Arabidopsis thaliana: one gene and its partners. The protein of the gene in region 2 interacts with the protein of the main gene of each other region in a pairwise test. Each region holds a gene or a part of one and is shown on either strand. Other genes may lie near its edges.

What was found.
Region 1: the proteins of SPL (region 2) and TPR2 interact in a two-hybrid assay, tested with the Arabidopsis thaliana proteins (2 studies listed by BioGRID).
Region 3: the proteins of SPL (region 2) and TCP8 interact in a two-hybrid assay, tested with the Arabidopsis thaliana proteins (2 studies listed by BioGRID).

The regions. Positions count from the first base shown.
Region 1 is NC_003074.8:5,729,904-5,733,659, reverse strand, and holds the start of TPR2 (TOPLESS-related 2), read right to left. Parts: upstream 2,142-3,756; 5' UTR 1,952-2,141; coding exon 1,872-1,951; intron 1,787-1,871; coding exon 1,607-1,786; intron 1,528-1,606; coding exon 1,414-1,527; intron 1,326-1,413; coding exon 1,167-1,325; intron 1,084-1,166; coding exon 906-1,083; intron 817-905; coding exon 684-816; intron 548-683; coding exon 432-547; intron 308-431; coding exon 175-307; intron 93-174; coding exon 1-92. UniProt on the Arabidopsis thaliana protein: Transcriptional corepressor. Negative regulator of jasmonate responses.
Region 2 is NC_003075.7:13,681,995-13,685,750, forward strand, and holds SPL (sporocyteless (SPL)), read right to left. Parts: upstream 1,601-3,756; 5' UTR 1,466-1,600; coding exon 935-1,465; intron 836-934; coding exon 602-835; intron 513-601; coding exon 333-512; 3' UTR 84-332; downstream 1-83. UniProt on the Arabidopsis thaliana protein: Transcriptional regulator of sporocyte development. Acts as an adapter-like transcriptional repressor recruiting TPL/TPR corepressors to inhibit TCP transcription factors. Required for nucellus and embryo sac development.
Region 3 is NC_003070.9:21,512,071-21,515,826, forward strand, and holds TCP8 (TCP family transcription factor), read right to left. Parts: upstream 2,120-3,756; 5' UTR 1,816-2,119; coding exon 610-1,815; 3' UTR 262-609; downstream 1-261. UniProt on the Arabidopsis thaliana protein: Can specifically bind site II elements in the promoter region of PP438/PNM1.

The DNA of each region.
Region 1 (3,756 bases), on a different chromosome or scaffold from region 2:
AGCCGCCATATTCCATATCTTGAAAGGTTCTGTGACAACCTTTTCTCTGGATCCAACTTCCCACAAGGTGACTTCGCCGCTTGAACAACCAACTACGAGTAACAGACATATTATAACAAGAGCCAAATAAAAATCTCAACTCTACTAAGCTTTTCATGGTAGCAATGGACTAACCAGCGAGCAAAGTGTGATGAGAAGGGTGAAAATCCATGCTTATCACCACCGACCCTTGGCGAATTGTACTCACTACATTTCTAGGGAGGTCATCAAGTGACGCAGGGGGATGAGAATGAGCAGGATATGTGACCTGTGATTTGAAAAGTAGAGCCATCTACTCAACATCAAAGCGCACATTCCAAAAGCAACAAGAGTTTTGTTTGCTAGGTAAGCACTAAGCGTTTCAAAAACAAGGAAAACCTGAAGGCAATTACCTCGTTGGATGTTTGTGCAGACCGTAAGCGTTTCATGAGTTGCTCGTGATCAGCACTTTGATAATCCATTAATCCTAGAGAGTTAGACGGTGCCCGAGGGTGTTTCAGCTCATTAACTGTTGAGACGAAATACAGCAATAGAACTTCAGGTCTTAAAATTCATTTCCTAAAAACTCTAATATCACAAGTAAGAAAAAAAAACGAAAGATACCATAATATCCAGACACTTGTAAGTTGTGACATAAATTATACCTTGACTTGGCTGCATAGGAAATGGGGAAGCAGCGACAACACCAGATGGAACTGATGAAGAAGGATTTGGGTTTGCCATCCATCCAGCTAAAGCATTGGCATTAGGAGCCGGAGCAGGATTAGATTGAAAGGGCTGCACAGATACAGTTGTTTCATCAACCCTCAAAATATGAACATTAAGTTATATAATAGAATGGGTGGAAGTTAAGTAAGTGATCCTACTCCACCATGCACTCCAAGAGGAACAAAGTTTGAAGGTCTTGCAACAGCAGCAACTGGAAGATTGACAGGAGTGAGTGCACGAGCACCGTTTGATGGTGAGCAAGAGTGATCCAAGAACAATGTCTTGATGTCAGGATTAGGCCTTGGATTTTTACATAGCTGATGCTGCCAGTTTAAGCTGCAATGTCCCAAACACACTTGTCATACACTTTAACTAATCTCTATAAAAAAAGGAAAGAATTATGACTCCTCCTAGTTCACCTTTGATTGATCAAAGTTCGCAGGCGAGAAGCTTTGAAACTGGGGAAGGCTAGCTTCTCTCGAAACAGAGGATTCGCCTCAATCAATTTCTTCAACTCAGTATACATTATAGACCTTGCAGATTTAGTATCACCATATTTCGACAGTTGCTCATTTTCCCTAAGAAAAAAACACACTCTTCAACATTATCGTAACCACCTACCAAAACTTCAATAATATCAATGGCAAAGTAAAAAAAAAAAGAAACCTAAAATTCTCCAGAGTAAGCAGCTGAGTAATCTCCTTGTAAAGCTCCTCGTTAAATGTAGCGAAAACTTTCAAGTCTTTGGCTAATATCTCAACAGCTTTTGCTCTGTCATTTCTGTAATAAAAACACACAAATGTATCAAATCAACAACACTAGTCTAAATATCCGACCAAACAAGAAGAGAAATCATTACCGATCTAGAGCTTCGAGATACTTTTGCTTCCTAATCTCAAAGAAGATTTTCATAGAGTAACGATTATCATCGACTTTAGTGAAACCAGAAAGATACTTCTCCACTTCATCCCACTCTCCAGCAAGAGCTTTCTCTTCAAAGTACTTAATGTTAAAGAAGAAGCCAGATTCTTGCTCTAGCCTACACATCAACCAATTCCAAATTATACCCAAAATTACGCAGAGAAACCAAACAAGCACACAAAAACGACAAAGCACAAACTTACTTGTGAACAGATTCCTTGAACTTCTCCTCATCTAAGAACTGGAGAATTAAGAAAACTAACTCTCTGCTCAAAGACGACATTTTTTCCTAAAACTCTCAGAAGAAGAAATTCAAGGAATTTAAGCGATCTGGGTTTATCGTGAAAGAAGGGTAGGTCAAAGTTTGCGAAATCGATTTAGTCGTAGTTGAGAATGAGTTTTCTAGGGTTTCAAGGTTGCATTTCCTCGCGTCGCAAAGCGAACATTAAGAAAAAGCTGACCCCAGAGATGCTACAAAATTTCTATTTATATTTTTTCATTTAATAAAAAAGGAAAAAGATAAAGAAAAAAGTACGACTTGTTCTCCACTTTCTTCGATGCGTTTTGTCACACAGACTGTAGTTTGATAAGTTAACTAACTTATCATTGATAAGTGCTTTCGTTGTCGTATAAGTTGATAACCTCGTTTGGTTAAACTGTTTGGTCTGATCCCTTAGCTTAGGGTTTTTATCTGATGCGGGTGAGCCCACCGAAAGCAGATGTGGGATCTCAGAGTATTCTCCGTATCTGAATTGTATTGACACTTGTCGCGCTTGTGATGCATTTTTAGGTGGGGGTGCAAAGTAGTGGATTATAAACCCTTAGGTGGGTTACGTCACGCGGATTCGAAAAATGGAATTGAAGTGAATTGAGCAGAGTTTTACTGGCGTCCGCCACATGTTGTTGCCTTGTTAGGGGGAATGACGTGGTCTCGATATCTGCGTCTATCTCGTAGAAGTTTTCGTCAGAGCGTGAGAAATACGAGATACTTGCTCAGCTAGAGATTCTCGTAATAATATTAGTTGAGAGCGACTGCTAATGGCTGCGACCAAATCCAGCCAATAATTCTTTGTTTGATCGATATTATAATTAGTCTAATTAAATTATGTACGCAATGCCATAAACAAAACATATGAACATATTTTAAAAAACATTTAAAGTGTGACTGATGGATCATCTTAGTTTTTTTTTTTTTAAGTAATGATTTTCATAGTGTTATAAACATCTAAGAGAATTCATCATCAATTAACAAATCTAAGAGAATTCAAGTCCTAACAATACTATTGGTCAAAAAGTTCATGATTATGTTTTCTCCTATGTTTTTGGAGCATATGAGGATAACTAGAAAAAACAAGGTTACTGTAACCATTTTTATGTATATAACAAGACAGAAAAGAAACTTGAAATTTAATTACACAAACTCTCTAATGTTTCCACATGGTGCTAATCATTTGTTTTTGCTATACGATCAAATACAAAAAATGTATTGGTCCCACATTAAGAGGCCGACTTGATAACTGAAGCCCAGGTTTAGCCCAGTGAGTTGTGTCTTCAATTGCTGTTACATATATAGCCGGAAGGTACGAAAAGAGTTGTAGAAGCTTTGACCTAACTTGGAGATGAGAGATTCAACAATGGCGATGTCCGATCTTCCCCGAGATTTGGAAGAGGAAGTGCTCTCTAGGGTCCCGTTAGCATCTCTTAGAGCAGTGCGAACTAATTAATCGAATATGGTTGCCTCGCTCTTGACATAATAATGGTTTGATCATTAATTTGTATGTCAGACCATTATTATTCACTTAGTATGTAATCTCTCGTTGGCTCTTCCAATATTTTTTTGAAACAGCCGAATACATCTTAGACACTTTTTTCCTTAGAAGCTCTCTTTAGCATTGCTATTTAGATGAAAATAAAGAAGTTCTGTATTGTCCATGATACAATTGTTGTTCTCTTTGCATATGAAAAACAAAAAAATGACTTTATAACATGTTTGTGTAACACATGAGCTTGAAAGCAAAGGAAATAGATGCTTTTTACCAGCTACCAGAATTGATATGTCCACTCTCTTTAAATCAACATATCGGGTCC
Region 2 (3,756 bases):
GACAGGATCATTGCCTAACTAAAGAAACACAAAATGGATACAAGCCCCAAGATCTGACACAACTTTAGAGAGAGAGAGGGAGAGAGAAGTTTCATGACAACAATTAAGGAAGAGAACAGAACATATATGTCTGAGTGTTTAGGTTAGAATCTCATAATAAACAACCAAAAGGGTAATCCAAAAGCTGAATCTTTCTTTCGACTCAGCTCTCAGATGCATACACCAAAAAAGGCTCTCTCTTTTTTTTCTTCTGTTTCTTACTTTCATCTACTTAAAATGTTTTTTCTTTAAAGAGACGATTTTGTTTAAATCAATATAGAAAGATAAAACATTTAAAGCTTCAAGGACAAATCAATGGTATTAGGACTGCAATCACCTACGAGTGACGACGTTTTAGCCACCACTGAAACTCTTTCACCATATTTCCCCGGAAAAAACTCGTACTCCTTCACACCTCCTGATCCATTTCTAGGGTTTCCTTCCATGTAGCTCCCAAATTCCTCCATTGGTCCCTAAACCCACCAGTTAAATCAAATAAGATCAACAGTTATATACATATATACCTATATATGAGTATTAATAAATGGACTATACTTAGTACCGTATGATTTGTTGCCTCGTTGAAATAAGGATTAATAGTAGTACTAGAAGCAGAAACTGAAGCTGCTCTAGCGATTCTATGATCATAAAGGAAACCTTGGCTCCTCTGATGATGATCTGATTGAAGAAGATACTGATCGTAGCCGTTCATCGGAGGAGGAATCATTGTGTATTTCGAAAATCCACCACCGTTGGATCGAACTACATTATTCTGATCACCATCCAAACGTTTCTTCTGCAGTTTTTTACATAAATAAAAATCAAAACTTTTTCAAGTGCAAAAACTATATATATATCAATCATGTTGATGAAAACGATTAAAAAACAAACAAACCTTGAAGCAAGTGTCACAGCGATTATTGGAAGAAGCGTTAAACATTTGAGGATTTGAGATTGAAGAGAGCTCATGAGTAGTGGAGGAGGTCTCAACAAAACCCCATGGAGAAATAACCGGGTCGATCATAACCTGACCCGACCCGACTCCACCACAATAGATCCTGTTGCTCCCGAGTGAGCTTGGGAAGCCTTGTAGCACAACACCCGGGTCTACCGGTACGGGTAAACGGGTAGCGTTGTTAGAGATCGATGCTACTGATGACGTGTCTCCGACTGTGGCGGCGGCGAGTTGCTTCTTTTCTTCTTCGATTCTCTGACGCTCGAGCTTTGCTACACCCATTCCTCTCAACGTTGGTTTCTTCTGTTTTTGCTGACCTGTCTTCGATCCTGGTTTCCGACCACGACTCTTCAGTGTCTCTGTCCGGATCTCGCCGGAGCTGTTGACGACAAGACGGGTGTTTCTCAGAAGATCGTTTGGGTTTCCGACGGAGTTTTGATCTGTTGACATGAAGAAGAGAGAAGTCGCCATTGATGATGATCTTCTTCTCGGAACTCTTTTTAGATAGAGAGAGAGAAGGGAAGAGGTAAAGACGAAAGCTTTAAGTGTGTGTGTTTTGTTTCTGCTCTCTTTTTGTGTGTGTGTATCTCTTTAGTGTTCATATACTAGCTCAGGCAAAGTACTTACCTGTGTTTTTATTTTCTGTTATTTCCAGGTACTATATGCGGATAAACGTATCTTTATTTCTTTTTTACTTTTTACCCCCTATAGTAGATTAAATTAAAGTATTTTTCAAAAAGATTAGTAAAGTATATCATAAATTCATAATACGTATTCTTATTTTATACTTTCTTAGTCTTATTAACCTTAGATGTTATAAATTCCCTTAGCACTTGCATGCATTTTTAACTTATGTGTGTATAGTCGTATAGATGTTCAATTTGTCAATATTAGTGGGTGTAAGTCAAGAGACGTTGAAAAAAATGCATTATTTGATGTTAATATGGTCATGAAAAGGAACAACTGAAATAAATAAAAAAGAGAGTTTGTAACTGAAAACTATGTTATATAGCATGAATGTATGATTTGATTGATGTTGTTATCCATGCATTGGATCGTGGAAGAAATTCAACATTATAGTATGATAGTTAGTTATCTTTGGTTCTGTCCATTAAATGGTATTTTTTATTCTTTCTATAATCTTCAATTACTCCTTAATTAATTAACCTACCTCTTAATATATAGAGTTTTGACTAAATAACTAGATATGGAATACTATGCTGTACATCTATAATACTAGTATCGGTGTAAAGAGTAAAGTGGGACGAATTCTCACTTTGCAACGAATATGATTAGTTTGTGAAACAGATCAAAGATATAATGATTTATAGTTTTTAAGAATTTAAAGGAGTAACAACAGAACAAGGTTTCAAATCCTTTATTTTCTTACATCTTTTGGGCGAAGAATGTAGAAAAAAAACAAAAACTCAAAGCTATTTATTTACTTGTTCCTGATAAAAAAAATCAGAGATTGTGATAATCCCTACCATGGAGACAGCAAATCGGAGATTGTCGCTACTCGCATAGGCTCAGTCGTGAGGTGAGAAACACTGTCCAATAGTAACAGCGCGTGCATCACATTGCAAAGAATATAGTACCCGCGGATCGAGGACAGGTGTCGGGACGTTAGACCATTCGCCGATTGTAGCGAGCAAGGTCTGGGACAACGTGATTTTACTCAGCTCATATCAACTAAAATAAGCAAGTCCAGTTACAGTCGCAGACTCGCAGTTATATGTATTTTTTTTTTCTTCAAAAACAAATTTTTATTTACTTTGACTAATGTGATATGTATATGAATATATGATAAATACGACGAGTAAGCTTAAAAACTCACTATACTTAGCTGACAAATAAAATACTAAATACAAAACGAAAATTAATATATTTGACATTTATTTGAAAAAGTTAGCTTTCGGTATTTGAAAAAAAAAATCGAGAGATAGTTATTGCTTCACATGAGAGGAGGACGAAAGCAAAAAGAATAGCATGAGAGACGTGAATTACGAGAAGGGTTTGGAGCTACGGAGTAGAGTAGAAATGATGGCTGCATCATATAAGGAAACATTTTAAAGCTGCCTCCATGTTAATCTTGGCTTCAGCCCAATACCTACTATTAGAAAATTTTAATTATCTTAATACAAAGTTTGTTTTATATGGATATTCTCAATACAAGTCTTAAGAGAAGCCCCACTGAAGTAATTATACATTACTATGTGTTGAGATTTCGTTTTTTTTTTATATAAATGAAGTAACCAGATGAGATGTTGTACATCTTAAATGGCTATTATATGATCTACGTAACCGTTGTAAATGTATACTAGCTAATAATAAAACGTACGTTGTTAAACAAAAAAGAAATACAAATATATTTAATTATTTCTCCATTATGTATCTTATTTTTTCTAGTTATCAGTATTTACTCGATTCCAAAGGTACTTCGAATTACCTTTGCTAAGTACGTTTTCTGAGTAAAGTTATCATATAACACTCAAATAACCTTTTTTACCCCCAAACAAAACAACTTCAATATGTATCTTCATAAGTTCATATATTTATAAAACAAATTACTCACTTCTTATACTCAAAACATTCATGAGTGACATGCAAATTCACTCTGCGGTTAGCGAGATTTTGTTATACGTAGATAATTAAGAAGAAAAATAAAATCTGAATTAATCACTGGAAATAAATCCAAACGGCATGACCAACCCAACATTGCAACATACCTACACTGTTGCTATAAGCCTAGAATGACACGC
Region 3 (3,756 bases), on a different chromosome or scaffold from region 2:
TGACACTGAGTATTGAAAATAAACATTAATGAGTAGATGTATACAACCTAGCTTGCTTAAACCATCTAGGCATGTTATTAGAATATCTATCATGTAAGTATCCAAACTCAATTTTTTCCAAGTAAAGAACAGTGTGTCTTATATTATATACATACTAGTGCCTTGAAAATCCTTGTGCCAGAAAAAAGAACAGTTGCAGAAGACCTTGCTCGATCGAAAAAGAAATCAAACAAAAGTAGCATACAGAAAAGAAGTGAGATCTGTCACCAACTCTTTCACTGGAACTTATTAATTGCGATTAATTATGCAATTTTTATTCTTTTGGTTTGAATGCAATTTTATCCTACAAAAATATAAGAAACTCAACAATGAAAACTGAAAAATCGAAAAGACTATCATTCCTTCTATACATTGAAAACATTCTCTACCCATGAGAGTCCATTTGGACCCAAACCTAACAATTCCTTCACACATAAATTGTTCTTGTCTAAACACTACTAAACAACAACACACAAAATCTCACAATAAAACAATCAACCAAACCGCTACAAACGCTTTAAATCAATTTCTTACCACATTCAATGATTTCACAAGATTAGTTTACATCACTCACTCAGAGCTATTTGAGTTCTCCTCTCTACTATCATCATCATGATCACTCTGTTGCTGCTTCTCTTGATGCTCCACCGCATTGTTCGCTTGTTCCGCATTCGCGTTTGCGTTTCCGCCTCTTGAATAAGCCGAGTTCAAAGCGGCTAACATCCCGAGATTCGAGTCCGGCATACTTAGTCCTAAGTTCTGAGTCGGCTGCGGCTGAGCTAAAAAAGAACCTAACTGAAGTGGACTTCCTCTGTACTGATCCATCGGAAAACTAAACCCCGTTCCCGCCATAAAGTGAGTCGCTGCTCCGCCTCCACCTCCCGCTCCTCCTCCAGCAGAGTTCACAAATGGCCACATAGGAGGAGCACGGTGGCCTGCGGCGGTGTTATTGTTGCTACTACTCTCCATTTGATTACCGGCCGTTGTCGGTACCGGAAGCATCCAAAAAGTGTTCCCAGCACCAGACCTACTCGGCGGCGCAACCGCCCACATCGGCGCCGCCGTAGGACCCGACGTTTCACTTTCTTTCAAAGATTTATTCTCGTTCTGTTTCCGATCATCGTTTTCTTTAGACAAATCAACCGATCTATACCGTTTCCTAGAGAAATTCTCACCTTCAGGAATAGTTTCCACCGGATCTTGATTCTGATTCTGGTTCTGGTGGTGTTGAAGCTGATGATGAAACCCTAAAAGCGGCGACGTATGAGCAGCAAACACACCGCCGCCTCCTTGTTCATCATACTGATGATGAGTCAATCCAAGAGCACCGTAAAGCGGCACCGATTTCGACGGCGGAGCAGAGAGAGTCGATCCACTACTTCGTAACGAAACACTTAAAGTAGAGAAGTTCGCCGGAATAGTTCCTGTACCTGTAGCAGCAACAATAGCTGGCTCAGCTTGTTGAAGAAGCCATTCAATAGTTTCACCATCGGATTTATGACCTAACTCTCTCGTTAACTGAAAAACTCTAGCTGCACATAGCGCCGGCATACGAATCCGACGTCCTCTTCCGTCGACTTTCGTGTGACGGTCTTTAGTCGACCGCTTCGTTGTAGTCGCCGTTGCCGTAGATGAGGTTGTTGCGAGTGTTGAGTCTTCGGGAGGTGTAGATCTGGGAACGATTGAGAGAGATGCGTCAACTAGCTGTCTTGCTCCTCCTCCGGTGGCGACGGCGGCGGTGTCGTTGTTGTTGTTTCGGATGTCGGAGAGATCCATTTTCCGGTGAGAAAGAAGGGAAAAGAAGATGAAATTGAAATTAGGGTTTGGTGAAAGAGGAAGAAACGGCCATGGAAGCTCCGATTGTCGCCTTCAAGTTTGACTCTTGTCTTCTTCTTTGTCTCGAGAAGAGAGAGAGAGAGATGAGAGAAAAAAAGGTTTGATGATGTAAAAGCAGGTGGATGACTTTTCCAGCAAGAGGATATTATTATTAAAATAAATAATATATATGCCGTCATTAACATTAAATAAAACGTTTATTGATTTTTGATTAGTTATTATATAAATCAAAAAGTAATTAGGGGAGAAAAATAACTTTTCACAATTATTTTAAGTCTTTTTTATCAAAATTCTACCCAAATATGAGTTATGTTATTTTTCAATTACATTATTTTCATCACAACATTATTGTTTACCAATTTTAGAGCACCAATAAAAAAAGGTTTAAAAAAGATTTGTGGATTAAGAAAGTTAGAAAGAGAGAGATAAGCATCTTTCAGACAGTGAAGCGTGCGTATTTTTGCAGGTGGGGACAGCTCATTACAATCCACCTCCGTATCTCCATTTCACTTTTGTCTTAAATATTTTTAGTTTTATAAGATTTTGTTAAAAGTATATCCATTAGATAAATGACACTAAATTCTTTAATTAGTTATATAGTTTTGGGAAAAAATGCACTTTCAAATCGTTACAGCTTTTTGTTTTAGACGTTATTTTGGTTATAGATTCATTAACATATCAGTTTGTAAGAATTTGGATCACAAATTTGATCATTCAACCAAATTAAGAAAGACATCAAACGTTACTCGTCAAGAATCCCAAAGAAAGGATGGACAAAAACTTATCTAATTTGGAATTTTCTAGTATTTAGAATTTATGAACCGGTTGAAATGGGCCGGTCTGTTGTGGCCCAAACCCGAAAAATTATTTATGAACGGGTTTCCTCCTAATTTAATATGGTAAGGCGTTGGGGTATTTGGGTCTTTTTGGGTTTACGGTTCAGTTATTTTAAGATTTCAGATTCAGATCGGGTTTTTTTGGTTTGGATTCGAGTTCATCCGGAATATCCAAAACTCAAAATTTTGTATCAAAATATATTTAAATTACTTGAAAATACACAAAAAAAATTCCAAAAAACTTGAGTATTTTCTATCCGAATCTATCGAAAAGTAGGTAAAATATCCAAAATATATACAAAATCTAATATTTTATGCACTTAATAGTTGTTGTAAATATGATTATTACTAATAAATTATTTTTATGTATATATATTTCAGATATGTTCAGAAACTTGATCGGATTCGGGTTTTGTAGTTTAGGATCTGATTAGGTATTTTAAAATTTTGGGTTTGAATTCAGATCGGGTTTTTAGGGTCAGGTTCGGTTCGGTTCTTCGGGTTCGGGTATTTTGCCCACGCCTACCAAAAACATTTCTAATGTAGCCGTTTCAGTTTCCTCTAAAACCAAACGACAACAATGCTAACCAGTTTACTTTCTGATAACAATTGAGTTGATATAGGCCCTTCAAGAGGCTTGACAAAGAGCAATGAAATAGCTGTAAATGTGCATATAAATTAAGTGCAGATCTGAGGCAATCAAATATTTTGACGCTTGGGGATAGTACTACAGAAAATGGCAACAACTTTACATGAAGCATTCACTCGAAGGGAATGCACCATTTTACAAGTAACATAAAATACAACAGTGGGTATCATAGTACAACTCCAGAGATGAGTCCGGGTTCGAATATATTCGTCCCATATATTACACAAGTCGCTACAACAATCACCAGATAAATGAAGTCCAGGTGTCTGATCTTCGAACTAAACCACCTCAGGCAAGCCATCTCCTGGAAGTAATATAGGATTTCCAGGTGCACTGGTGAGTTAACTTGTCAACCATAAGAAAAGAAAAAAAAAGAAACGACGGGGGAGTTAAAAA